Nothobranchius furzeri: one gene and its partners. The protein of the gene in region 6 purifies or fractionates together with the protein of the main gene of each other region. This does not show direct contact. Links are inferred from orthologs where the notes say so. Each region holds a gene or a part of one and is shown on either strand. Other genes may lie near its edges.

The links.
Region 1: the proteins of sec13 (region 6) and kelch-like protein 12 purify together in Homo sapiens (affinity purification with mass spectrometry; 3 studies listed by BioGRID and IntAct, with this or other methods). This does not show direct contact. The link is inferred for Nothobranchius furzeri from reciprocal best matches to the Homo sapiens genes SEC13 and KLHL12.
Region 2: the proteins of sec13 (region 6) and nup133 purify together in Homo sapiens (affinity purification with mass spectrometry; 4 studies listed by BioGRID and IntAct, counting the BioPlex papers as one, with this or other methods). This does not show direct contact. The link is inferred for Nothobranchius furzeri from reciprocal best matches to the Homo sapiens genes SEC13 and NUP133.
Region 3: the proteins of sec13 (region 6) and sec23a fractionate together in Homo sapiens (co-fractionation; 3 studies listed by BioGRID and IntAct, with this or other methods). This does not show direct contact. The link is inferred for Nothobranchius furzeri from reciprocal best matches to the Homo sapiens genes SEC13 and SEC23A.
Region 4: the proteins of sec13 (region 6) and mios purify together in Homo sapiens (affinity purification with mass spectrometry; 5 studies listed by BioGRID and IntAct, counting the BioPlex papers as one, with this or other methods). This does not show direct contact. The link is inferred for Nothobranchius furzeri from reciprocal best matches to the Homo sapiens genes SEC13 and MIOS.
Region 5: the proteins of sec13 (region 6) and nup37 purify together in Homo sapiens (affinity purification with mass spectrometry; 5 studies listed by BioGRID and IntAct, counting the BioPlex papers as one, with this or other methods). This does not show direct contact. The link is inferred for Nothobranchius furzeri from reciprocal best matches to the Homo sapiens genes SEC13 and NUP37.

Annotation. Positions count from the first base shown.
Region 1 is NC_091755.1:52,045,082-52,050,318, forward strand, and holds the start of kelch-like protein 12, read right to left. Parts: upstream 3,522-5,237; 5' UTR 3,446-3,521; exon of another isoform or gene 3,376-3,445; 5' UTR 3,294-3,375; coding exon 3,236-3,293; intron 2,770-3,235; coding exon 2,543-2,769; intron 1-2,542. UniProt on the Homo sapiens protein: Substrate-specific adapter of a BCR (BTB-CUL3-RBX1) E3 ubiquitin ligase complex that acts as a negative regulator of Wnt signaling pathway and ER-Golgi transport.
Region 2 is NC_091747.1:67,787,292-67,791,897, forward strand, and holds part of nup133 (nuclear pore complex protein Nup133), read right to left. Parts: intron 3,951-4,606; coding exon 3,780-3,950; intron 3,613-3,779; coding exon 3,457-3,612; intron 2,793-3,456; coding exon 2,722-2,792; intron 1,770-2,721; coding exon 1,622-1,769; intron 1,108-1,621; coding exon 957-1,107; intron 1-956. UniProt on the Homo sapiens protein: Involved in poly(A)+ RNA transport. Involved in nephrogenesis.
Region 3 is NC_091758.1:16,454,518-16,459,123, reverse strand, and holds part of sec23a (protein transport protein Sec23A), read left to right. Parts: intron 1-1,589; exon of another isoform or gene 1,590-1,748; intron 1,749-1,830; exon of another isoform or gene 1,831-1,967; intron 1,968-3,808; 5' UTR 3,809-3,855; coding exon 3,856-4,076; intron 4,077-4,160; coding exon 4,161-4,218; intron 4,219-4,292; coding exon 4,293-4,379; intron 4,380-4,458; coding exon 4,459-4,606.
Region 4 is NC_091745.1:63,836,231-63,841,424, reverse strand, and holds the start of mios (GATOR2 complex protein MIOS), read right to left. Parts: upstream 3,298-5,194; 5' UTR 3,206-3,297; intron 2,216-3,205; 5' UTR 2,168-2,215; coding exon 1,349-2,167; intron 1,258-1,348; coding exon 768-1,257; intron 1-767. Other genes in the region: col28a1b (collagen, type XXVIII, alpha 1b), read left to right, coding at 4,079-4,241. UniProt on the Homo sapiens protein: As a component of the GATOR2 complex, functions as an activator of the amino acid-sensing branch of the mTORC1 signaling pathway. The GATOR2 complex indirectly activates mTORC1 through the inhibition of the GATOR1 subcomplex.
Region 5 is NC_091741.1:39,610,103-39,613,379, forward strand, and holds part of nup37 (nucleoporin Nup37), read right to left. Parts: intron 2,708-3,277; coding exon 2,617-2,707; intron 914-2,616; coding exon 729-913; intron 663-728; coding exon 612-662; intron 546-611; coding exon 452-545; intron 1-451. UniProt on the Homo sapiens protein: Component of the Nup107-160 subcomplex of the nuclear pore complex (NPC). The Nup107-160 subcomplex is required for the assembly of a functional NPC.
Region 6 is NC_091743.1:73,557,982-73,563,141, reverse strand, and holds the start of sec13 (protein SEC13 homolog), read left to right. Parts: upstream 1-1,516; 5' UTR 1,517-1,646; coding exon 1,647-1,649; intron 1,650-1,840; coding exon 1,841-1,885; intron 1,886-2,551; coding exon 2,552-2,667; intron 2,668-2,831; coding exon 2,832-2,983; intron 2,984-3,666; coding exon 3,667-3,800; intron 3,801-3,947; coding exon 3,948-4,081; intron 4,082-4,194; coding exon 4,195-4,315; intron 4,316-5,160. UniProt on the Homo sapiens protein: Functions as a component of the nuclear pore complex (NPC) and the COPII coat. At the endoplasmic reticulum, SEC13 is involved in the biogenesis of COPII-coated vesicles.

The DNA of each region.
Region 1 (5,237 bases), on a different chromosome or scaffold from region 6:
TGGCAGCGCTCATTTCTGCGTTCAGTCTGACGGCACAGCGCAGCGTGCGCTTGTTGAATCAGTGTGTGTGTGTGTGTGTGTGTGCGCGCGCGTGCGGCACAGCTCCATGCGCCGCTCCAGTCACCGCGTCTCGTTATTGGTGCTATTCAAACCAATGTTGTAAAATTACTTCTGCCCAGCCCAGATGTGCTCACATGTGCACCCGTGAGCCGTGGTTCCGCTGGAACGCGTCTGACCTCTGACAGACGCACTCTGAACTTCAGACCTTCAGCGTGCTGTTAACAGCCTGACACATTTAGAATGCTGTCCCACAGTCAGTGTGCTAATATAATAATATAATAATGCTAAAATGCTCAGATGGGAATCATTTCTTGATTTATTCTGTTACATCTACAATGTTCTGTGTGTGTGTGAGGTTTACAACTTCAGAACACCTGCATGAGACAGGTGTTAATTACAATCTGCCAGAATGACTCACCACCTTCAGATTCCTCCAACACCGTTAAAAATGATCAAATACTGAACATATCCTGCTGTTGACAGCGTGCGCAAGCCAGAGCGCTGAAACTCGGCGCATTATTATGAAGCTAGGGCACATGCGGAGGACACACACACACACACAAGCAAAATATACTTGTTTTCCAATTACATTTATTGGGCCCACCCACAAAGGAGTTTCTGGCTACGCTAATGGTGACATATGACAGACTTCTCTGAGCTCCGCAGCCATTACACTTTTCACCTCGCGCACCCCCTAGCGGCAGCTCGCGCACCACACTTAGGGAGTCCCTGCTCTAAGGTAGAAAAGAGAGAAAAAAAACTCCAGATGCATTTTTCTGATTTTGTTCCCTTACAAGGATATTTATGCCCTGTAATTATATCGGCATTTAGAGGGGCAAAAGGGTTTCCGTTAAACAAACACTGTCTCTGAGGAGAGATCCATCCTGCAACAGTTAGTATGTTCAAATGTGTCTAGGAGGGATTTTTAGGTCCAGTGTTAGTCTGAACAATCCACCCACAAGCTGACAGCTCTGAAAACAAGTTATCAAACCTGCCAATAAAAGGCACGTCCTGAATGACACCCTGCAGCAGGATCTCTGATGATGCAGCATGATAAAGACTCGCTGCCTGAGTAGCTAGACTCCACCAGGACTGGTGTCTGATCCTGTCAGCAATCTTCATGAACGGAAGCTCACATCGCAGTCGAGTGGTTTGGGTCTCATCTCTGCTTTAGGTGACAGCAGATGATGTGGTTCTGTTAGCATCTTCAGGCTATGATCTTTAGCGTGCACTAGCATGCTTCACAGCTGGGGGCCGAGGGCTGGGATGAGAATCAGCTCCTCTAAGACCGATGTCATTGTTCTCAACCGTATAAAGGTGAAACACTCCCTCCAGGTTGGAGCAGAATAATTAAAGTATCTTGTTAACTAAGAGATGGATCCAAGTAAAACAGAATCTATTAACATCAGCTGGTAAAAACGTTTATAAATGGAGCAGCAAACAGTGTTTTCATTCAGTTAGATGCAATGGTTGCAAATGCAGCTTCATGAAAAGTTAAACACTTAGCATGGAAGCAGATAGCAGCTATTTTTAGGTCTGATGGGATTTCCTTCAGATCAAGAGTCGACTGTTCAGTTATCTGAAAAAGTGCTGTGCTCATTTTCTAATGATGACAACAACTTATTATCTAAAGAACGTAAGCTTTGTTTTCTCCAGATAAGATGAATACGATGAAAATGGGAGAAATTCCTGTGTTACGCCCGTTTTCTTCATTTAGTAGCATTGCTGTGACTCTTGGATGATTAAAACTTATTGATGTGCTGTTTACTTTTGAATCAGTTGCAAGCAAGACTGACCTGATTTCTGATGAAGTAGCCCTCTCTGGTTGTGAGTTAGAAATAACTGTCTTAACACATTGGAGCAAGCTGTTCCAGGTCAAAATGTCTACATATTTCAGCCTGTTATAGCAACAAAACAAGCTTTATCCCCAGTGAAAGCATTAAATAACAAAATAAACCATTATTAAAAGACCTGCAAATGAAACCATATTTGTAGGCCTGTCATTGTGCGGCTTCCAAACGTCCGAAGTTTTGTTTTGTTTGGCTCACACACAACGGTAAAATGTAGACTTCTGTTATTTACTCACTAAGTAAAAAGATCTGTTGGATTTGAAAGATCTCATGTCAGAATAACACATGGATGCTGAGGGTGCTGTTCTGCAGCATCTCTTACTTATGAAGCATGTTGGAAGTAAAACTAATATTATGTAAATATTAAATAAAGTCTCAAATGTTGGGATGAACTCATGTGTTCCTACAATACAACTGTACTTAACAGAACCTCTTCCTAAAATAAATTTAGGTTTTCTTTTTATTTCCCATCAAATGATTTGAAAAATTTGTTGTACATCCAGTATAAAATCCACACACATCCATTTAAGTTACAAGTAATAGTTAACCCAAACAGGGGAAATGCCCCCAAATTGTGAATATTTAAAAAAAAAACTGTTTTGTACATTTTAGTCCTGAAAAGAAAGTTCTACCTCACTGGTGAACATGGCACAAAAGTAGTCGCTGCAAGCAGCCAAGACGATCCGGTGAGCAGGAAAATCCGCGTTGTCCACCCTCAGAGTGATGTCGCAGAGTGTGTTACTCTTGCGGAGTGAATTCATTGCATTGAGGATGGATTTAGCATGGGAATTTGTCATGATGTCTTTGGGAGCCATGCTGTTTGGAGGATCCGTCATAGATCTCAAACTCCCACAGGAACCTAAAATAAATACATCAAGACAAATAAACGGAATTCTTGCAGACCACAATGCCATCTGGGAACAGGAACAGAGACAGGAAGCACCGGATTATTGGATTAATAATAATAATAAAAACTTTAGCATTGGCTCATTAGTTAAAGATTATTCAGGAACCATCATGACTACTGAAAAAACATTTTTGATGAATCTGTAGAAATCATTAGATGTGTGTGTATTGGTTTGTTGTTTTGTTTTGGAAGAAAAAAACAAGGAAAGACATCAAATAATGTCACATCTGTCAGTGGAAGAGTCCACAAACAGGTATTATCCATCCTTAGGTATTTAAAAGCTGATATGTTGATTAAAACCAGACAAAAAAAAAAAGAATAAAACAAACGTATTTGTCAAACAAAAACCCATGTTTGAAACTACAAGTACATTTAGTTAGAACCAGGATTTTTATTTGATCGTGGTGATGAAACTTACCGTGAAAAGATCCTAACACTTTTTCCACCACTGGGAGGCAATAACTATAGCTACACATGAGCTAAAAGCAGCACTGAACAACAGCTGACGGCTAACGCCAACGCCACACAACTTCAGAAAACAGCAGCTACAAAAGCGGCCTGTAGGCCAGAGGGAGACAAAACAAGAAGCGACACACACACAAGAACTTGGCAAGAATTTGCATTATACCTGCAGGGCAGAGTCAAAACGTCTAGCTAAGTTGTTTTGCTAACTAACTGTAGCAGCACCAAAGTCTCAGTTCAAACCGCCCTAATCCATCATGACCTCCGTCAGGTCACACCAACACACGGCCTCCGCGGGGACGGGTCTGTTCAAAATATCAAAATTATCTCATATTATGTCCCAGAACGATCTTTGAACACCAACAATTTAACGTTGACTAAACTGCAGTGGGTCACAGTAGCGCCACCAACAACATAGTTGGCAAGCAGATGTATCATATAATAGTTGGACACGAACTTTCAAACAAAAATCCAGAATTCACTTGTTCGTAGTAAAATGAATAGCCTTTAGTCTGTGGTTGTTGTTGCTGTTGTAGTATATGTTGTTACATGACTATATGTTGTTACATGACGTTGTTACCTGATGTTCAGACATGATGTTGTTACTTGATTTTGTTACATGATGTTACTTGATGTTGGTACCTGATGTTATTGCATGATGATAGTACATAATGTTGTTACCTGATGTTGTTACAAGATGTTGTATAATGTTGTTACTTAATGTCACCTGATGTTACCTGATGCTGGTACCTGATGATGTTACATGATGTTACGTGATGTTATTTGATGTTGTTACCTGATGATGTTACATTATGTTGTTACCTGATGTTGTTACTTGATGTTGTTACATGATGATGTTACATTATGTTGTTACCTGATGTTGTTACTTGATATTGTTACATGATGATGTTACCTGATGTTGTTACCAGATGTTGTTACATGATGATGTTACATTATGTTGTTACCAGATGTTGTTACATGATGTTATTATTTGATGTTGTTACTTAATGTTGTTACCTGATGTTGTTACCCGATGTTGTTACCGGATGTTGTTATATGGTGTAGTTACTTGATGTTGTTACTTGATGTTATTACCTGATGTTGTTACTCGATGTTGTTACCTGATGCAAAAACAAGGTAAAATAACACTTGCTGTGTTAAAAAGAACAGTAATGCAGTAGAAATGCAGAACAATTTAATAAAACAATGTCAAATGTTATGACATGTTACTCATTTCTATGCACAGTGTAGAAGTAAAATGCTATTTGTGACCAAAGTGCCATTTAAAAAGATGAACTCAAATGTCAACTCACTTGTGCAGTGGAAATATGAACTAGACAAAGACATGGACAGATATGTTTGCCACATCTGAAGGGGATAACCTAATATAAATTAATGGAAAGCTGACATAATTTGCTTCAAAAGTTTGTTTTCCCTGACAAAGTCTCAGTTATGGAAAACTTGAGACACAATTTTAATATTGTGACAGTTTTGGTTATCATTGGTTTTGATTTTATAATTCAGATTGTCATTTTGACAGAAATATTTACACTGACGTTCAAATTACTTTTTAAATGTAATTATATTAAATGTTAAAACAGCTTGCCAAATTCACCGGCAGCCGGGGCGATGACGTACACAGTGCGTGAGTGTGCGTGCGCGCTCCCCAAAGAGCGAGACGCGTTTTTTTCCCAGAAATATGATGCCTCCCGCGCGTCCTCGCCTGTTGGTCGCTGCTGTTTCAGAAATGGTGAGATGACGATTCTGTGTCAACAGACTTACTTTCCAGACTTGAAGAAGTGCTGTGAATCCTACACAGATATCTCACAGCAGCAAATTAAAACAAAACAAAACACATTGTGCTCTTTTTAGCCACCCAAGGACGACAGCTACACCGTGTAGGAGGAGCTAGCGGCGTGTTTCCGTTAAGAGTAGGCCGAGATGGCGATCTAAGCAGC
Region 2 (4,606 bases), on a different chromosome or scaffold from region 6:
AGTTAAAATTTAAATATTCTGCCTAAAACTGTCAGTGTTGTGCCGTCGTCAGGTAAAAACTCTGCACTGCATTTGAATTTAAGGCCTAGTCCACACGTAGCCGGGTTTTTTTTAAACGAATATCCGCCCCTCCAAAAAACCTGTCCACACGTACCAGGATAAATACGTTGTTAAGGACATGCCAGACCTGTAGGCGGCAGTACTTCCCCCGTTCTTAACCTCGTCCTTCGTCTGTGGTCTTCCGCAAGGAGCAGTAATTCCGCTTGCAAAAACAAACAAGCAGAAAGCGCTTGGACAATTGATAAAGCGAGCGCAGCTCTGAGGGCATCCATGATGTCGGCTAGTGTAAACACAGGTCGCACACGTGATGTCAGCATGTTTTTGTCGCGGAAAGTGACGTTGCGGACCTTAAAACTCCGGTTTTGTCCGTCCACACGCAGACACCCAAAACGGAGAAAACGCAGATCTTCACTTTGGCCGGAGTTTTTAAAAAGATCCGTTTTCGTGTGAAAAAACTCCGTTTTCGTGTGGATGACAGGCCAAAACGTAGAAAAATATCTATGTTTTGGCAGATCCCCGGCTACGTGTGGACAGGGCCTAAATCTGCCACTGCTATTGGCTAAGAGGTATACTATGATGTAAACTGGTCCTTATGATGTCACAATGTGGTTGTGAGCCTGTGTGTGTATTGGTTTGCGGCTCCGCCCTCTCGGTCTGCAAGGCAACAGCATTTGTTGCATTTTTCAAACATGAAGAGGGAGTTGAGTAAGAATCTGGCAGGGGGTGACTTGCTCTTTAAGTAATTCTATATCACAGGCCAAAATCCTACCGTTCATTATTAATATTTACTGATAATGAGACAGGCGTGCGTTTTCCTAACAGCGTGCGGCCTCATGTAACAATCGCTGTCTGAGATGAAATGGCAGGTAAAAATCATGGCTGCTGCCCTCTCTCACCTGGTGAGGTAAAGTTGATTTTCTCATCTGGCAGCGTTGCCCTGCTGGTGCCCGTCGAACAAGCAAACACCAACTCCTCGTTGTACAGGAAGGCGGTGGCGCTGGGGGACCAGGGCAACAGCAGGCGTGTAGCCTGCAGAGCCTCCTTAGTCTGGAAAAACCAGGCAGCTGATCAAAACGGAGACAATTACAATAAACAACACACCCTGTCAAATGTTGCTGTACATGACCGAATTCTTAGAGAAAGTGAGTTTAAATGAACAACAGCAGCATGAAACCGTGTTCCTGTCTCTGCAGGGTGCTGAAGCAAACCTCTCGATAAGCAGTCACCCCTGCAGGTTCTTACCTACAATCACTCATAAATAAAAGGTCAACTCTGTTGGTTTGAAGCTGCTCCAGGAAGGACACAAGCTACTTTCAAGAGTGTATTCAGATGCATTGCTTCCCAATGTCTTGGTAGCTGAGGTTACAACACCTTAAACTGTTTCAAACCAACTACTCTAGAAGTTTGGATCCAGTAGTGATGGTGGACAAAATCCTGAACTTTCCACATTTTCTTCTTCTTCTTCTTCGTGAGCTGAGCAGCAAAATGAATCCACGAGTCCAGTAAGTGAGATTCTGGCCTGTTGGACGAAATAGGAATCGTTCTTTCAACAGACACTGACCTGGAATACACAGCTGTACTTGGTCACCTGGACGGTAAACTGGTCAGAAATGGTGGACCCATCGTCATGCAGGGTGGCGAGACAGAAGTAAGCCAGGCACGGGGTGTCCGACGGGTGCCAGGCTGCAGCCAAAACCACCAGGCCAGACCTTAGAACACACACACAGCACAGAGTCTGACGGGCTGCACACGACACACACACCGTCACGCTGATTCTGTCCTCAACCTGCTCGGCTGGAGATGGACGAGTCCAAGACCAGCAGCTGTTTGTATCGGACACCTCAGCAGTGGTGATGCTAGGAGAACGTTTCAGGACATGAACATGAGGACAGCTGCTGGTCCCAGCAACTGAGCAGAAGTCTTCAGCGGGTTGCTCGACATGGCATGTAGTCTGCTTGTCTACACACAAATACCGTCCCGCTCACTCCCTGTACAGAAGTTCCCTTTAGATGTCTACTCTCGTGACTTTAATGCTCCCCTGACCCTTCCACGCACCACGCTGAAGCGCTCGGCGTCCAAAACGTGTGGTCGTAGGTTGAGCAGTCAACTGTCAAAAACATTGAAGGCGTGGTTCCCTGAAAAAACATTTTTACAGTGATCCCTCGCTACTTCGCGGGTCGTTTATCGCGGATTCACGACTTCGCGGATTTTTTCTTTGGAGCCTTATTCAAGGGAAATTTTCCGATTTGCGGTATTTTTATATGCGAAATATCAAGAAATTCCTGTTTTTTTTTTCATCAATTACATCATAAAATGCACTTTTTGTAATAAAACTATAAAAAAACCAAGTAAAAAAATGTTTTTCTTGAGTTTTACCCACAAAAAGAGAATGTGATCATACAATAATTCAATAAAGTACTGTACTGTAAATATGGTGTCCCTACTTGGCGGATTTTCACCTATCGCGGCCAGGTCTGGAACGCATCTACCGCGATAAACGAGGCATCACTGTACTTCTTGTTTCTGATTATAATCGGTTACTCGGAGTTTCTCCATACAGGCTGAACATGGAAACAGGAAAAGCTCATTTAAGACTTTTTAAGGACCCGCGGATACCCCGAGTACAGGAAGGAAGTACGTAAATATCACACACACACTCACTGGCTTAACTTCATGTCCAGGTATGCAACGTTTGCCCCGCTCTTCAAGCCACCGTAGCTGCTCTCTGAACCCTGGAGAGAGAGAGAGATCTCCGTGTCAGTCAGAGTGGACAGACTTGGTGGAATCGTGTAGACGTGAGACACGTCTACCACCACAGTTTGTCAGCGCTTAAGTCGCCCCCAAAATCACCTTTTTTTTGATAAACTACATAAAAGTGTGTCTGATCGTGCTGCAGACATGTGCAGTCAACAGTTTTGCACTTCAGAGCATTTTAGTTAAACTTTAAATTTTCTGCCTGAAACTGTCAGTGTTGTGCCGTCGTCAGGTAAAAACTCTGCACTGCATTTGAATTTAAATCTGCCACTGCTATTGGCTAAGAGGTACCCTAGAACTTTAGCTAGTACCATATGATGTCACAATGTCGTTGTGAGCCTGTGTGTGTATTTGTTAGCGGCTCCGCCCCCTCGGTCTGCTAGCAAACAGCATTTGTTGTATTTTTCAAACAGGAAGTGGGAGCGGAGTAATACTCAGGTAGGGGGTGACTTGCTCTTTAATGAACACAAAGATGCGTTTGTATTTTGTGACGACATGACAGATGTCAAACCTTCCACCACATCTATTGTGTGAATATCAGCCCCCCCCCCCATGTCCTTTACGCTAGCACTACAGTAGATCGTAGGACACTGACGACAAACACCTGGGATGGTGTAGCACGGCTGCTGCTTTGGTACTGACCCAAATGGACTCAACAATGCTCTCGTTTAGAGCTTTGCAGGTGTCCCAGCTGAGGATCTGGTGCTCCGAGCTGTCGTCCACCTCCCACTTACTCAGCCTGGAGGAGGTCAGGGTGTACAAGCAGCTGGTTCTCCCCACCCACACAACGCTGTGGAGCTGAGAGAAGGACATTCAGGAAAGGAGACACTTTCAATGCTGCAGCCGACTTTACTGTTGGGTCGGTCTGATGCTCAGACATTAATAATAATGTCTCTGAGAGATTCTGGGCAATGACCCAGGAAGGGAACTTACCCAGAGTGTACGGAGGATCTAACGTAACTCACCACGTCATCGGCTGGTGGAGAGAGGATGCCGAACAAGCTGGAGACACGGCGGCCGATGCCAGAGAGCACACCCTGACCCTGCTGCAGAGCTCGACACTGAAGCTTCCCGGAGGAATCTGCGCTCACTCTCAGCAGCTGACTCCTGACTGATGCCACGATGAAGCTCCCACCCTAGGAGAACAGAGCAAATCCGGCCACTGCTCAGCACTCACAGGTCCAAACGGTGGAGCTGAAGCTGACGACTCAAATCAGGACTAGAGAAAATGACCACGTGTGCACCCCCGCCCCCTAGCCAGGATAAAGAGCTGATCCACTGCAGAGGAGTTCTGATTGAAACGGTTTTTTAGGGGTTCACCTGTTCGTATGTCACCTGCGTGACCTTCAGCGGCCTTGAAGAGAACTTACACACACGTGTGACCTCTATAAAAACGTTAAATTGAAGTTGTTGCTGACGAGATTACAAAACTGAGAGAATAAATTGTGATTAAATAATCTAACGAATCTCTTTAATCCCACCGACACATTACCAGGTTATCTGCAGGTTTAAGGGAGCCAAATTTAAGACTTTTTAAGACCTTTTTTAAGGCCACTTTGACCAAATTTAAGCTACTTTTGAAATTAAATTTAAGCTATCATTTCCAGCTATTGCCTGGAACCGGTACTAACCACATCACAAAAGTGGGATTAACCATCCAGTTACCATCAAATTTGCACTTCCCCATGGCGCAAGCTCCCACTAGCTTAACCAGCTAATGTGCTCATCTAAAAATAGTCCCCTTTCACAACCAATCGAATGCGTACGGTTCCGCTTACGCCAACATCGTACA
Region 3 (4,606 bases), on a different chromosome or scaffold from region 6:
CCTAGAAACCAGGATCTTGAAATGAACCCTGCAGGGTGATGTGGGTGTACTTTGACAATTTGAAGCCTAGCACAGGTATTCTGAACCACCTGCAGACGGTTCAGGGAGGTTTTGCTCAGATAAGTGAAAAGCCAGTTGCAATAGTCTAAGCGTGAGGATATTCCTGAGATGGAAGAAGGAAGAGTGAACAAAGAACTGACATGAGAATCCAGGGTGAGGGCTGGGTCAAAGGTCACACCAAGATTCCTGACAGAGGGTTTGGTGTGAGAAGCAAGCTGATCAAGAGACTGACTTTGGGAACCAGCTTGTCTGGGGCACAGATGAGGATCTCAGTCTTATCTTCATTCAGCTGTAGAAAGCTCCCAGCCATCCAGGTTTTAATAGAGTCTAAGCAGGTGTGTAACAGCTGCAGCTTACACCTCTCATGGAGCTTAAAGGAGATGTGCAGTTGGATGTCATCTGCATAAAGATGGTAGGAGACTCCTTAAAAGGAGCCCAGAATGTGCTGAAGAGGAAGCAGATAGAGGAGGAAGAGTAGAGGCCCCAGCACAGAGCCTTGTGGGACACCATGAGTGAGGGAGGTGGTGGAGGACCGAAACTTGGAGAGAACCACAGAGAAGAAATGCTCAGACAGTTAAGAGGACAACCACTCCAGAGCAGATCCTGATAGGCCTACCTAGTCTCTCAGTCTATCCAGTAGCAGGTGATGGTAAAGAAGGTTACTTTAAAGCAGGGGTGTCAAAGATGCGGCCCACGGGCCGGATCCAGCCCGCAAGTGGGTTAAATCCGGCCCGTGAGATGGTTGTGTAAACTTTATTTTCATACGTTACAATGTAGAGTGAAAATAAACTCATCTTTGTGAGCAAGTTTTCTCTGTAATGAGTATAAATAAAACAAAGCTGCGCTCAAGGCTCACACAAGAACTTGAATCACAACCTGAAGTTGGCTGCCACTCCTGAGTGGTAGCCATGTGACTTCTGATATTGATGTGCTGGTGAAAGCTAAAAGATGTAATGTAAAATGAGTCAAATATACTTTAAGTGCTGCATAAAACTGATCTAGCCATGTGATCTGTAAGCTCTTTGAATCACTAAGGAATGTTTTTTTAATTTATTGATTTTTTTTCTTCAAAATTTCAAGTACACTTCAGGTGTTGTACTTGTACTATTTTGGATACACTGTCCTCAGGCTTCATCCTTGTTTTATATTGATTGTATTAAAACAAAGAAAACAATCTGAAGTTGTTTTTAATTTACCGGTCCGGCCCACTTGGGACTAGATTTCCCTCAATGTGGCCCCTGAGCTAAAATGAGTTTGACACCCCTGGTTTAAAGACTGAGACCCACTGCACTGAGAAACAAGGATTTTGCATCATGATTATCTCTCAGTGTTACCTTTTCACGTTTGCCCTTGCCAAATAAAGCTTCCTTCAGAGTTAAATGAACGTTCATATTTTAAAGATCCTCTTCCCAGCATGCCTGGTGCATTTTTTTACTGATAAATTGAATGGTGCCTGAACAGTTCAAAGATGGTGTTGATCAAAAAGAGCTCTCGTTTATCGCTCAGAGTGAGACCTCTGCCTTTTTCCTGCTTCACGTCTTGACGTGGCGCCGGCGGACGCCATGTTGTTTTGCTTCGTTGTCACCAGAGCTGCGCCCTGCTCGGAGCTTCGGAGTGGCTGTGAGTATTTACCTGTATGATCCTCAGGTGTGTCCGCCGGACCCGCAGCTCCACCTGGACTATGTCAGGTGTGTGCTCTGGAGTCACGACCTGCGTGACATTAGCGAAGCTGCGTTTAGTTCGTGGAACATGAGCGAACAGTTAGCGATAAACAAGCAGAGCCAGACAAACGTGGCGACGGTACAGTTCGTAAAGAAGTTCAACAGTTTGTCTTCATGACGCAGCATGGCTGCATCTCACGTTAAAGGCTGTGGGCTCACTAGGAGAAGTCTTGTGGTCACGTCCAGGTAAGACTGGACACCAGACAGGACCAGGTGTCTGTGAGCATCTGTCCAGTAGAGACCTGGACCTGGACTCTGAGGAGACCTGGACCCTGCCACCAGGTCCAGAGCCCCCCGGACCACCCAGACTCGGACTGCAGCTAACAACTGGATTAACCAGCCACTCTAAACGATTAGTTTCCTTCCTGTAAACTAGCGGGTTTTGTGTAGCTGTTTATTTGTTTACTGTAGTTTAGTTATAACCACAACATTAATGATCGTTTTTATACTTCAGTTACGAAACATCAAAACCAGAAACGGGTTCATTTGTGTTTCAAGAGTTTTTCATTACAAACTGGGTTTATTAGACATTTAAATGTTGTTTATTCCGTCATTAATCTAATCAGCACCACCAAGTGTTCTAAAAGCAGCAGTCAAGGCGGCCCAACATGGGCCAGAAGGACTGTGAGGAGGTGGTCACCTTGAGCTGCAGGGATGTTCTCCATGAGCCACATGGAGATGACATCAGTGAGTGTGTGACTGATTATATGTACGTCATCAGCGAGGTGCTTCCCCAGTAAGGAACCCTGGATCACCGCTGACCTGAAGTAAAAGGGCGTTATTGAGGAATTTACTAAAACAGCTCAGAGTCGAGGTGAGAAAAAACCAGGAGGTGTGCAGGAAACAACTGGGAATCCAGTTCCAGCTGTTGCATCTTCCACTTGGTCATGAATCCTACTGCTCCATTTGTTGTCAGCCACATCAGGAGATACTGGTGCTCCCCTTACACCACCCCATCCAGCCAAATCTTAATTCACCTATTTTAAGTGACACACACACACACACACACTTCTAACGGTTCCTTTCTTTTGCCCTTCACCGTCCTACTCACCTTTGCATTAGGGCTGCACCATATTAGGAAAACCTGCGATAACGATGATTGATACTGCGATGACGATATTACTTGCAATAAATAAAAACGTAACTCAAAAAATGGCAAAAAATTCCTAAAAATGAAAAAAGCTAAAGATGCGAGGAAAGGAAAAAAAATGAACAAGAAAAAGCAATCTGTGAATCCCGGGAAAAGCAGAATCGGCAGAAAGAGCAGAACAAAGCTAACTCAGGTGTTTGCTAACCATCAAAGTGAAGTGCCGTCCGCCTCGGGGGCGGGCGTCTGACCTATGAGAACCCACCCAATTGGCCAGATGGGTGAAGAGCTCTATTAGATTTGTTAAAAAAACATCATGCTTCAGTTTGATTGACGGAATGTGTAGCAAACATTTGAGTGATTTAACATTTTGACTTTATGGGTTCTCCTCTGTAAAGAATCACCACTCTTAGCCTGGACCACACTGTGTTTTCAGCTGTAGCACAGGACTGGTTCTTGTCACACTGTGAGGACTCTAGAGAGGTGGACCGCTGTAGCAGAACACGCTAACGAGCGTCTTCGCCGGAAAGCGTCTGTCACTAAAAGCTGATGGAGACCCAAGACAACGACGAAAAGAGAAAACAGAACCACTGTTAACACTTTTTATTAGACTCTAAACTGATCTCCAGAAAAGTCCACGTGCTCCTGAGTGTAGCCTCCACTGGTGCTAATTTCACTCGTGTTGTCCTCTCATCACCAGCTGTTCGCGTCGTCCCCTGGGGGTATTTTCATTGGTCGATTACAGAGCAGGGTCATAGATCTTCAGACACTGCTTGGAGACAGTTGGAGGCTAGTCTGTTCAAGATGAGGGACTTGTCTAGGATAGCCGAAAGCACGCGGTGTGGTCCAGGCATTACCAGACGATTAGTGTTTGCTATTGTTCTGTTGCTCTCTGACGTCCCCTCTCCTCTCTCTCTCTCTCTCTCTCTCTCTCATAAAGCTTTCACCTGACAGAGTGACACCTGTGGCGCACCCACCTGTTCTGTCATGGCCACCTTCTCAGAATACATTGCCCAAAATGAGGAGCGTGATGGTGTTCGGTTCAGCTGGAACGTGTGGCCTTCCAGCCGGTTGGAGGCCACCCGAATGGTGGTACCAGTGGCTTCTCTCCTCACACCGCTGAAGGAGAGAACCGACCTCCCCCCAATTCAGTATGAACCAGTTCTCTGCAGCCGAGCCACGTGCCGTGCAGTTCTCAATCCGCTCTGGTAGGCGTCACTCCTCTCGTTGTTGTCCAGCTCCCACCAGTTCACTAGCTGTTGGTCTTATTTCTGTCTGCCTCTGTGGTTCAGCCAGGTGGACTACAGAGCCAAGCTGTGGGCATGTAACTTCTGCTACCAGAGAAACCAGGTGAGTGGCGTGTCCTCCACTGGCTGGATGGGAGACCATGTTGCAGACACACTAACTCCATCTGTCTTGTCCAGTTCCCTCCATCCTACGCTGGGATATCGGAGGTGAACCAGCCCGCTGAGCTGCTGCCTCATTTTTCTACTATTGAGTATGTTGTCCAGGTGAGACTAGGACACGGTAAGACCGTAACGTTGACCCCTTGTTCCTAGAGGTCTAACCCACTCTCCTCTTCCTAACCAGCGGGGCCCTCAGATGCCACTGGTCTTTCTGTATTTAGTGGACACATGCATGGAGGATGAGGACCTGCAGGCTCTAAAGGAGTCCCTGCAGATGTCCTTGTCTCTCTTGCCCCCAACTGCTCTGGTTGGACTCATTACCTTTGGACGCA
Region 4 (5,194 bases), on a different chromosome or scaffold from region 6:
GATTGGCTAACAGCAACGGGACTCTACCAATGGCTCTGATCTGCGAGGTTGTTTTATCTCCACAAACAACACAAGGCTGATGTAGTTCTGCAGTGTGGTGGAGTTGCTAATGCTGACGATTAGCTTCTACTAGCTGAGATGTGCTCTGCTGGACGGTAAACCAACAATAGCCTTCCCTGTCATGAGCCAAAATGCAAATTTACAGTCTGACGTGGAAACGTCAGGCTTTTCTAACCCGAGTTTTCCCATCTATTTTCTATTGGCAGCTAATGAAGGAAATGGACCTTGGGACGGTGCTACAGGTCAATCAGATGGCACACCACTAGGCTCACCAACAGCTTCTTCCCCTCGGCCATACGCAGATCAAATAGCATCAACCACTGAAACCCCCCCAACCAGAACCATAAACTGGGACTCCTACATGAAATATAGAATTAATTAGCACATTATCCTGTGTATATGTTCTGTGTACATTTCATGTCCTGTGTGTTCTGAGTAAAGTTGTGGGTGGACCACCTGCAATTTAGTTGCTCATGAAGCAATTACAATAAAGTCTTATTGTATTCTATTCTGTTAGATCATTTCCACATTTAGCCTTCATGTGAAACTCAGTGACTGACCATATTTAAAAACGACAAGGAAAAACGGCGTCTCTCTGAACTCGGTCTTCATAAAATGCTTTAAAACTTTTGGAAGTTGATTTGCTACTTCAAAAGCTCTACCTTTACTCACAAGTATTTCTGTCACTTCATCACCATAAAGGATATAGGACAGATCGTACCACAAGGACTTGAGCTGGGGGTCATTCCCTCCAGCCAGCAGGTGGTTTCTCCACACCTGCAGAGTGTCGTGTCCGTACCTGGACTGAGCTCGCTCCCTCATCTTAGTGGCGATGTCTTTCTCAACGGTGCTCTCCGCTCCTTCGGCCGAATCCTCGGCGCAGTCGTATAAGTGTCTCCCACACGCCCACATGAGTGATGTGGTGGAGCTCCAGGCCAGAGAGATGCGCTCGAACACGGTGAAATCAGTCATGACTCGGTTGGTCGCGGACACCACCACCATGCGGTTCTGAGAGGAGGGGTGCCAGGCAAAGCTGCCAATCTGGCTTTCACATGGCTGCACGCTCCGCTCGATGATGGTGGGCTCTGTTTCATCCCCGATGGGCGTAGGAGTGTGTTGCATGTCGTACAGGCGGATGACGTTGCTGTCACGCGTGAGCGTGGCCAGAAGGCCGGTACGAGTTGGACACCATGCCACCTGAGAATGGAAACAGCAAAACACAGCTACAGTCTAAAGAATGAAGCATTAAATAAATGTCTCTTTAAAACAGGAAAAGGCTCCTTCATACCTTGGTAAGAGGTTTAGACTGCTCTGTAAGTGTGAGCACAGGCTTCTCAAATTTTCTCAAGTCCCAGATAGCCACCTGCCCCTCAAAGAAGGAGGCTACACGGTCGTGGAAGTGTGGGTCAACTGTCACGCCCTGGATGGCCTTGGTGTTGACAAACATCTTCTGGCTGGTGTTTCTCAGGTCAAATATTGCAAGGTTCCTGTGCATACCAGCCAAGAGCAGCTTGGGGTCTCGAAACAACCAGCACAGAGACAAACAAGCATCGTTTTGGCCAAGCTCATACAATGGCTTAGTCACTACCATGCTTGAATCCAAATCCACAGTTGAGATACGGATTTTCTCAGCTGCTACGCTGGTCTCTGGGGCGAACTTACTGCTAATATCCCAAATAAGAACAGAGAAGTCGGCCCTGTGCTTGTCCAGCCCTGCAGCCAGTAAGTTGTTGTCCACAGGGTTCCAGGCTAAAGTGTTGCATTGTCGCGCATGTTTGGGCACAAACTCTTTCCCCACTAGCTCTTTACATGTAGAGTTGTGGCTCTGGCCCAAACTGGTGAGCACAACTCTGCCATTAGCTTGTCCCACTGCAAGTAAACACTCAGGCTCGTGCTTCGGGTACCAGGCCACACATTTCATATAAGGGGTGTCAGAGTTTATAGCCAATAAAGTAGCAGCAGTTTCTTCGGAGAGTGGCAGAGTGCCAGGCTTTGTTTCTGTGCCACCCACAGGCCCAATGCGATACAGTCCTAGTTCAGAGTCGCAGATGACGTAGCGGTCCGGGTGGTGAGGAGACCACAGGATGTCCGGCTTTGAGCCACTCATGATTCAGAAGGAGCAAAATGAGCTTCAACACAGTCTGCTTTCAACAATCTGGAAATATGACAGAAGACATGGGAGACTGTGAATCAGACAGCAGTGGGTAGATGTCATCTCACAGCAGGCAATTGTGTAATAGTAAAAATAATGCAGTGCAGCATGATGCAGTTCTGGTCTACATGAGATGGTGTATGTATTTCTGCTGGAGGGGGACAGATGTCAAAATGACTAAAGACAGCTAATTATTCATGCATCAATTATTTTTTGACACAAAATGAGTTTAAATATTTTGTAAAATTTTTTACTACTGTAATATTTTACAACATCACATTTTATAATTTCAAAAGTTATCAAAATCTGGTTCAATAATATAGAACAAATGAGAAACGCGTTGATCCTTATATTTATTGTGACTTATAAACATAGCATGAAGTCAAAATGTTTCATGTTTGTTTGTCAGGGCTTCATTACCAAAGAACCAGATTTAGAATCATTGTTGAAGTTCTTCAATATAGTTTCACTCCAACACATTTTATTTTTAAAACCCTCTTTTTATTTCTTTGTGATTACTGGGATTCTAAGAAGATAGTGTTCACCCAGAAAGATAAAAACATACTGATCATGACCACAGATTATGATAAATTCGATTGCATTTGGAAGTCTTGAGACTTTTCCGCAGTAATCTCTCATAAAGTCAATCAATTAAGGTCAACGTGTGAAGAGTTAGCCGACATCTACTACTGAAACTTTGCAACTGATTTCAAACAGTTGAGTCACCCACGAGATGCTAACTAGCTAACAAGTTCTGATATCTAAATGAAGAAATCATTGTGGGCCCAAAGTTCAACCCATCTACTAAAATCCAAAAGTTGCACAAGCTCGTGAAAGAAAAGTACCAAATTTGCTTGTATGCTAGCTTACCTAAGCTAAGGCTAACGGGTGAAGGACGTGCTAAACAGGTTCTCCTTCACTAATTTACCCAGCAGTAAAAACGATTTCGCTACCAAGTGATAAAATTAACAAAAACAGTAAATTAGTACTTACATGTAGAACCTTTAAAAAGCCGACCGAGTTATGTTTTGATGCACACATGTCGTATACGGATGTTGTGTGCAACACCAAAATAATTCCGTACTGATTAAAGTGAAGAGAGTTCCGCAAGGTAACTTTCCCCGCAAGAGGGCGTGCAATGCGCAGGGAACGAATTGCCTCTTCTTCTTTTTTTTTTCAAACCAAATAATTATTTGTCTTATGGAAGGATTAAAACATTATAACAGATAGAGATTGTGTGACTTATTAAGGATTTTTATTTACTGAAAAACTTTGAAACTATTTTTAGATAAAGTAGATTAAGTTATTTGTTGAAATAATCTATTTTATTTATTAAATTATTTGTAACACTGCAAGGTAACCATTCCACATACAAATTAAAATATGTTGTTTGGATTAAGCATAGGATTTAGAAACTATACAATCATTATTATTGCTTTTGCAATCACCATTATAAAAAAATCACACAAAAAACTTTATTTACGTAGCCAATAATTACAGACAGGCTTCTAAAGGAATGACTCTTGCTCATTCATAGCTGAGGGAAGTCCTGGCGTTGAGCCACAGCGTATCAGCTCATCTCAGTCTGGGCTTAGTGACCCGATCCAAACGGGGCGCAGAACCTTTCTCCCACGGTCTGCATGGGCCACAGTAACTCATCACATCTGAATCAGGTAGAAGCTGATTTTTCATTTTACTTATTTAATGATGGTAAAAGTGTTTATTGCTGCACGATCATCATCATCATCATCATCATCATCTAAGGGGTTTGAAGTGTCACTAGGGCCCTGGGGAACCTGCCCAGATGCTGAAGCGGGATGTTTGTTTTGTATTTTCCATGCAGACCTTCCAAAGCCGGAGTTTGAGATGCTGCTGCTGGGAAGTCTGAGCAGAGGACTGGGGCTCTGGCTGCTGCTGTTAGCTCTGATTCATGAAGCCACCGGGCAGAGGAGGAAATCATCATGGAGGAAAAACTACACACCGCGTGATGATGGAAACGAAGTTCTCAGCGTTAGCCGCAGGAATACTGGTGAGAATCTTTCACTGGATCAGGATTGAGGAAACGGGATTTGACTGAACGACAAGATAAAATGATTTAGTTTCTCATTCCCTGACTAAACTGAAATGGTGAATACTGTGTGTTGTTGACCGCATGACTAATGTGTGTACTACAGTGAATAGCCCCGACCCATCGGGGGAGTCAATAGCAAAACATTTTTGCAGCAAATCTTTGATGTCCTGTTAGCCGTGAGACCAGGCGTCAGCGGGTCAGACGTGTTGTTTTAGCTCATCCCTCTGAGGCCAAAGGGATAGAAAAGAATTAAAACTGCGGTCCCTCCATCTGAACTTCTGACAGCCTGAAAGAAATGCTGCCCTTTGTCACACCTTTATATGATGTATTCAAGTGCAAGTAAGTAAGTAAGTAAGTAAGTCAAACTTTATTCATATAGCACTTTTCACAGATAAAATCACAAAGTGGCCACACGAAGAAACAGGGGCAGGGCGTTCCAAAGCCTGGGAGCTACAGCTTGAAAGGACAGGTCCCCCCTAGTTTTCAATCTGGTCTTAGAGACCTTCAGTAGGTTTTCACCCGAGGACCGTAGAGTGCGGCCAGAAGAGTGAGGGATTAAAAGGTCTGATAAATATTTTGGAGCTTGAAAAGTCAAAACTAAAATTTTAAAATCAATTCTAAACTTGACCGGTGGCCAATGTAAAGAAGATAAAACTGGTGTTATGTGAGCCCTTCTATTGGTTCCTGTTAAAAGCCTTGCTGCAGCGTTCTGGACCAACTAGAGACGGCTGACATCTGATTTGTTAAAACAAGTAAAGATAGAATTACAATAATTTAAACGAGAAGAAATAAAAGCATGGATAATCATCTCCTTGTCCGATTTTGAAGTAAAAGCTCTCAATTTGGAAATGTTTCTCAAATGATAAAAGCAATTTTTTACTAAATGTTTTGAGTGGCAGCTCAAAGACGTG
Region 5 (3,277 bases), on a different chromosome or scaffold from region 6:
TGACGCTATGCATTACGGGGCTCCCACGAGGGACACAAACCGAGGACAATATTTTCCTGATATAGGGTTTATTACTCAAGTAAGGGTAAAAAAGTATCTGATTAGAAGTCTACTTGAGTACTGAGTATCATCTGGTCTAATATTTTTAGAATGATGACATCAAACAGACATAAAATAAGAAGTTATGGGCAAATATTGGTATTTTAAAGACTAAAGCGGAAAAATGTAAACAAATAAACAACATAATTACAAAATAACACATTTTAGGCAAAAATTTAGACACAAACCGAGGACAATATTTCCTGACATACAGGGTTTATTTAGCTGTCTGAAAATGTAACACGTTTAACAAAAATACCACGATAATAACGAAAACCGTGATAATTTTGGTCACAATAACCGCGAGGTTAAATTTTCACACCGTGACAGCCCTAGAGAAGACTGCACCCACCTGAGGGTGGCCAAGATGGTGGATGAATACCTGCGTGTTGATTTTACCAGGAAGGCCGGTGGTTGCAAAGAGGTTCTCATTAGCAAGAGACCACCTTGAGAAAAGAGTGCATTTTTAACAACTGTTTAAGAAAACAGAAACAGAACGTTTATAGACTTACTTGAATAGTCGGGCTTTGTCTTTGTGGGCTGGCCGTTTCTCTTGAGGGTAACTGCAAACAACAACACATGAGGGGATGTATTCCACAACACGCATCAAGCAGCAAACCGCCTCTAACCTGGAGCGCGTTATGTCCCAGACGAGCCAGTCGGTGCCTGCCACGCCGCCGACTTTGATCGTGTTGGTGAGGCACCAGTCGGCAGACATCAGCGGTCCACAGTGTCCAGAGTCCAGTGACAGGATGGCCTGCTGGGTGACCAGGTCATAAAATCGAATCGTCCCCTTCTTCTCTGCCACCATTAACTGATGAAGATATGCCATCAGAACACAAAACTCTGGTGAATGGAAGCACTGAGTGGTGGAAACACATCAGGAACAACTTATAGAGAAGTAATGATCCGCTGGTCCTCTAAGAAGCGGTGCCATAATGAAAATAGATGAGTATGACAATGAGATGAAAACGAAAATAGAAACACAAATGAAAAAATAACGTTTGCGAAGAAGAAGAAAAGGGCTGGAGCACTCGCGTCTGCACCGTTTAAATATTCTTCTTTGACCCAAACGTTCCAGCCCTTTCCTTCTCAAACCGTTCTGCGTCCGTTTGTGGAAGCAGACCACGGCCGTTCCTTAGGTGAGATTTCGGTAACGCTTCCTTTTACAGTCCCCTAATTACTAAGTACTTACATGGTAATTACATAGTAAGTTTAAGTGTATTATTGTGTAATTCAAGTGTATAATTGTAAAAAAATGTAATTATTGTGTAAAGCAGTATTTACTGTATTTTACTGGTCTTGATTCGGAAAAGGGTAGAATGCCTTCTCCGGGTCAGGGATGAGGTCCTGCCCCAAGTGGAGGAGTTTAACTCATTCACTGCCATTGACGACTAAAGTCGTCATTTTAGATCCAACCGTTCACTGCCAATGACGACTAAAGTCGTCATTTGCATTTTTTTTACTGTTTGAGCATTGGAACGAGTCCCCGCGCTGATAGAACAAGCATCTCAGCCCTGAAGCCGATCTTCATCCGCATACGTCACAGATCACATGATCAGGAAGCAGACCATCCATGTGTTTGGAGATCGTTTTGGGCCGTTCCTGTAAAAAAAGTGAGGCGCGAACCGGAGAAGCATCTGCCGATCACAATTCAACAACGGATTATGAAAGAACGGATAACGCTCCAAACACGCGGCTTCTTCCTGATGTAAGAGGTGAGTCTCCTCTTTGTTTTGGTTGTTTTGGCATCGACATCATGCTAGCGCGCAACGTTCTGTGACTCTTAAAAAAACAGTAAAAACGGTGAGAAACGCTGGCAGCGAAGGCCGTTAGCGATCAGGAAACGGCTTGCAGTGAATGAGTTAAGTATCTCGGGGTCTTGTTCACGAGTGAGGGAAAACTGGAGCGTGAGATCGATAGGCGGATCGGTGCTGCATCTGCAGTGATTCGGGCGTTGTACCGGTCTGTCGTGGTGAAGAGAGAGCTGAGTCAGAAGGCGAAGCTCTCGATTTACCGGTCGATCTACGTTCCTACTCTCACCTATGGTCATGAGCTTTGGGTAGTGACCAAAAGAACGAGATCACGGATACAAGTGGCTGAAATGAGTTTTCTCAACAGAGTGGCTGGGCCCTCCCTTAGAGATAGGGTGAGAAGCTCGGTCATTCGGGAGGGGCTCAGAGTAGACCCGCTGCTCCTCCAAATCAAGAGGAGCCAGTTGAGGTGGTTCGGGCATCTGGTCAGGATGCCTCCTGGACACCTCCCTGGTGAGGTTTTCCAGGCACGTCCAACCGGGAGGAGACCTAAAGGTAGACCCAGGACACAGTGGAGGGACTATGTCTCCACCTGGCCAGGGAACGCCTTGGGATTGCCCCGGAGGGGCTGGCCCAAGTGGCTGGGGAGAGGGAAGTCTGGGCCTCTCGCCTTAGGCAACCGCCCCCGCGACCCGACTCCGGATAAGTAGATGGATGGATGGATGGAATGATAAGCAACAAGGACTGAATAAGTCCCTCCTACCTTACAGATTTCCTCTGGATGCCAGCACACACTGACGCCCGGAGAGCGAAGTCGCAGAACACACGTCTCATTCCCTTCCAGGTCCCACAACCTGCCGACATGGATTCAGACACACGAGAAGTAAATCAGCTCTGCTTCTTTTTATTTGGAAGCTTAGGAAGACAAAGATGCCATCTATTTTATATACGTCTCTGGAATTTAGTAAAGATAAGCACTTGTATGATACAAGACATGCCTTAGAAGATGAATTTACATGACCAAAAGATCTGATGCTTTAAAGCATACAGCAATGTATGGAGGGATGTACGAGTGGAACCATCTCCCAAAAGAAATCTCACATATTAGGGGTAAAAATGTATTTGGAGTTAGATTAGAAGAACATTTGTGTTGTGTGTAGAAAGAGAACTTATTATTTAGATATTATTTAATTAAAAAAATTTTTTTAAAGGGTTAATTGTGTTGTGATATGGTATGAAAAGTAAGTGTATAATATAATGGAAGCCTTGGGATGGTAAAATTATATCTGTTAAGGTCATCAATGTTGATTTGGTGGGGTGGACTTGCTTCTGTATTTTTAGTGTTTTTATTTATTTATTTATGTCTTTTTATCTATTTGATGTAAACATTGTTTTTGAAGTTGTATGAATAGGTCCACAGGAAG
Region 6 (5,160 bases):
ATTCATGTAAATAACCCAAAAAGAACATCTTGTTTATCTTCTACTCTCTGGTGGAGGATCCAAGTGCTGCAAGTGGGAATTTATTTACTTTTTTTTAACTAGATAAATATGTAAGTGTGCTGCTTGTCAATAAACCATTTATTTCATATAAAATTGCAATTTGGGGCTATAAGATGTTTTATCAGTGGGCTTGATAAAACATCTAGCTTCCATCCTACCACCTCACACATCACATTACATCACCTCACATCCACAATATCGCATCTCGTTATTCATATCTTGTCATGTATAAATATTAATTTTGTAAAAGAATTAAATTAATTTCATAAACTATATACCTGACTCTGTCTGAATTACAGTAATACAAAGTGTGTTTATGGTCCCTGAACAAGTAAAAGTAACTATATTCTTCTGATTAAACATTCAAAGATCAGTCAGGTTGATATTTCATATTTATATGGAATAATTTGTGTGTGTGTGTGTGTGTGTGTGTGTGTGTGTGTGTGTGTGTGTGTGTGTGTGTGTGTGTGTGTGTGTGTGTGTGTGTGTGTGTGTGTGTGTGTGTGTGTGTGTGTGTGTGTGTGTGTGTGTGTGTGTGTGTGTGTGTGTTACCGTGGTCTGGTGCCTCATATCCACACCCATCAGCGCCTCGCTAAGGAAGACGAACGTGTTTATTGCAGCTATGTAGCGAGGGTCATACAGAATTGCTTGAGCCCTCATCTGCAGCAGCAAGGACCTCAGTAAAAGGCCGAACCTGGTCCTTGGTGGGTTAGGATAAAAACAGCTGTCAGGTCAGACTATTGTGGGTTTATGGCGTCACCTTGTGGTCATCTGGGGTAACGACGTGATAATTTGCTGTCCAAAAATCACAATCTGAGAGACATCTTCAAAAATTGACTATTATTACCAGTTGATATTTAGGAGACCTGAAAAAGAAGCACTTGTTCCTCTTAAAATAATGTTTTTTTTTTGTTTTAATGTTGTATTGAAATGATAAAGGGAATGTAATGTATCGATGTGTTCTGTTTTCTGTCTTTTTCTATTTGTTTACGTGAATTCATGTTACTATTTTATTAGTAATTATAATATGATTACAGACAGGTGTAAATGTACTGTGTGTGTGTGCGTGTGTGTGTGTGTGTGTGTGTGTGTGTGTGTGTGTGTGTGTGTGTGTGTGTGTGTGTGTGTGTGTGTGTGTGTGTGTGTGTGTGTGTGTGTGTGTGTGTGTGTGTCCCAAGTATGTTTGTTTTACACTGAGTAGGAGATGCTCTGTATCTCACTTTACACCTGTATGGTGACAATAAAGGTATTCTATTCTATTCTATTCTATGTATAGAGGGTCTTTGTACATTTAAGTTTCCATCAATAATTTTAGCTTTTAGCTCAAATAAACTGTTTCCTTTTTATTGTTTGATTATTTTTTGTTTGTTTGTTTGTTAAATGAAGCGTTTTTAAAGTTTTTATTATTCTTCTTTTTTAATTCACGCAGAACTATCATTTGGCGTTTTGTTTTACCCGGTAGGAAGTGAGGTGGGACTCGGTGGAGGAAACGGCTTCTGTACTTGTTGCCACGTCGGAATTGTGAACCTTGTGAAGTTAGTCGATAGAGAACAGGGGCTTCTTGTTTACACGGTTTAGCCACAGCCATGGTGAATTTCGTCACTTTTTGTTTTAGTTTCAGCTCAAAATATTCTAGGATGTTGATTTTATGTTTACATTTTGCTGGCTAGTCTTGGTAGCTGTCAATCCATTAGCACGATCGCTAACGGCAGGAGGCTAATCTGTCTGGATATAGTTTTATATTTGCTTGATTTTGTTCTTATTTGTTTGTCAATTGCAGGTTTCCGTTATAAACACGGTGGACACTTCACACGAGGATATGATCGTAAGTGTTTATGTTTTATCCAGTTTTATTTTTATCTCTGATGCTAAAAGCTAACAGTTAGCGGCTGTAGCTTTTATCTTCATTCAGTACCACAAGTGTAAGTGTTCTGTGTAAAGCAGCAGTTTTTAATTTAAATATGTAATACTGTTGGGATGTGTGTTTTGAGAAAGGAGTAGCACATTGTTTTAATTAGTTTAGTGCTTTTAGATCGTTCAGTCAAAATGTTTGTCTTAACTGTACCAGATGCTATAGTGTAATAATTACAGAAACAGTGCTATGTGGATTATTCTGTAGTGTTGACTGTGAAAATTTGTTAAATAGTCTTTAAACTTCACTTAATCGGCGTGTTTTGCATTTTCGTTTTAGTTGTAGGGAAAATCTAGCCGAAATCATTCACGTATTCACATTCTCCCTAAAAAGATAAGATTAATCATGTTCTCAATGTTTCAATTTAAGGAAATCAAAACCAAAACAAACATTCAAATGATGCAGTTTATGCCGCACATTTGTTATGTGATGGTGAAAGATTTAAGGAATGGGTTTCAGTTTAGCACCATCAGTTCATTTATGAATAAACCAGGTGTCATGCTTCCATTGTTTGGTGCTTTTGCTGCCCCATAGAAATCCCCACCAACATTCCTGGTGTTGCTTTGTTGTCTGTTTCAGCATGATGCCCAAATGGACTATTACGGGACTCGACTCGCCACGTGTTCTTCTGACCGCACCGTTAAGATCTTTGACGTCCGCAATGGTGGACAGATCCTGGTGGCAGACCTCAGAGGGTAAGAGATCTAAGCTTTGGAATATGCACAGAAATTTACGTAAGTAGAGTTGTCAAGTGAATGTCAATACACTTCCATTTATTTCCTAAAGATTTAATCTTCACCTGTTCTGTAATGTATTTTTATTTATTTATTTGTGTGTGTGTGTGTCCTGCATCATGTAGCCACGAGGGCCCTGTGTGGCAGGTGGCGTGGGCTCATCCAATGTTCGGCAACATTCTAGCATCCTGTTCATACGACCGCAAAGTCGTCATCTGGAAGGAGGAGAACGGCACCTGGGACAAGATGTATGAGTACACTGGACACGAGTCATCAGGTAGAGTTCTCCATTATTCTAGTGCCGGGGTGTTCATTTCCAAGCCTGGAGGGCCAGTATCCATTATGTTTTAGTTTTAACTGTTTCAACACACCTGATTTCAATCAGCAGGTGATTAACAGGCTTCTGCAGAGCCAGATGAGCTGCTGCACAGGTGATTCAACCATTGAATCAGGTGTGTTAGAGCAGAGAAACTACTAAAATGTGCTGGATACCGGCCCTCCAGGACCGGAATTGAATATCCCTCTAGTGGTTTAAATGTGCTCCTCCTCCTCATTCTGCTAATCCATGTGGCCTTCTTGAAAGAAGTTCAGGTGCTAGTAATGCTGGAAGAAGTTCCGTTTTTCTTACAGATAACAAATGTTTTGATCTTAATGTTGTAATTTTATTTCTTCTTCTGCCCGACAGGTCAGTGTAATGCACCAAAGTACACGTCTTGTTTCAGATATGTTCTCTTTTTTTTTGCCAACACCTTTAGAAAAATGAAATATTCAGATTAAGTTCTGTTTCTACAACATTCTCTTTTGTTTGAGTACATTTCTTTTTCCCTTTCTAATTGATCCTTCCTTTTTAAGAAATTACAAAGAAATTCATGTTCATATATTGGGGCTGAGAGATCAGTTTGACTGAATAGTTTTCCACACAACTTGATCTCGTCCTTAACTCTGTCTCTGTGTTTGCAGTGAATTCAGTCTGCTGGGGTCCGTATGAATTTGGTCTAATCCTAGCCTGTGGCAGTTCAGATGGAGCAATTTCCCTCCTCACATTTACTGGTGATCAGCAGTGGGACGTCAAGAAGATCAGCAACGCACACACCGTGAGTTAAAAATGAAATGGTTTTCCTAAGTTGTCACCAATCTTTTAAACTTTATTCTGTCTCACCTTTTCTAATTTAGTGTTTCTGTGTCTTTTGGGGCGTGAAGTGTATCTTTAGAATAATTAAAAGCTTTATTTTTTGCTTCAGATTGGCTGTAATGCAGTGAGCTGGGCTCCTGCTGTAGTTCCAGGCAGCCTGATCAATCAGCCATCAGGTCAGAAACCAAACTACGTCAAACGCTTCGTCTCTGGCGGATGTGACAACCTGGTGAAACTCTGGAAGTAAGTTGCTGTTGAAAATCTGTCATCCTGTATGGATAAAAAAAAGAACACTTTCAACAGTGAACGTCAGATGTAGCTAATATTCTGTGGCCTGAATAATGTTCTGCCTGCAGAGAGGAAGACGGTCAGTGGAAAGAGGACCAGAAGTTGGAGGCGCACAGTGATTGGGTCAGAGACGTCGGCTGGGCTCCTTCTATTGGTCTTCCCACCAGCACCATCGCCAGCTGCTCCCAGGTCCGATTTCTTTTTTTTTCTTTTTTTTCCCCCCCGTGTCCTGTCTGGCTGTGAAGCAAACAGAATTGATGTCTGAATGCTGGTGACAAGCCTTACAGATTTACTCTCAGGTGGAGCATCAAAGCGTCTGCTTTTAATGTCACACCTGGTACTTAAAACTTTATTGTTATTGTTTTTGAATGCTTTGTAATTCCGACCAGACACGGAGTCAGAGGTGAAAGAGAAAGAAAGATACAAAAGGAAGAGAGGGGGGGCAGGTTGTATTTCTAAAGAAATCTCATGTTGAATTTTTCACCTCATCACCAGGTGGAGCCATAGATGACATGTTTCAGAAAATATTTAGAGAAATTAAATGTTAAATATGGAATAGGGACACTCTGGTGGTATTGCAACAACAGGACTAATTTTCCAGCCGTTGGGATGTTGGTTCACTGCTGACATGTTCCAGCACCGTGTTTAGAGACAAATCGTACAGAATATAGACTAATTTCTACTAATGAGTTTATTATTCATCATTAGAACATCTTCTGGACTCAGAATCAGCTGCTTGACTTGTCAAGTCAGCCATTTTACACAGTCCCAGCCTCGCCTTGCTCAGCGGGTGCTTTAGCTTAATGGTGCCCAGTGGCTGGTAGATGTAAACATAAACCCGGCGTTGTGCCCGACAGAATAAAAATGTGATACATATTTTTTTTAAATATAGCTTTTAAAGGAGAAACTACATTCATTCTGCACACCTCTCAACGACCTGTGGCGGTATTGTTTTTGTAAATATAGCTTTTTATTTAAACTGTTCCATATGCCACCTTTAAGTTAAACGTTTGTTTAGAAGCTTGTCTCTGCTT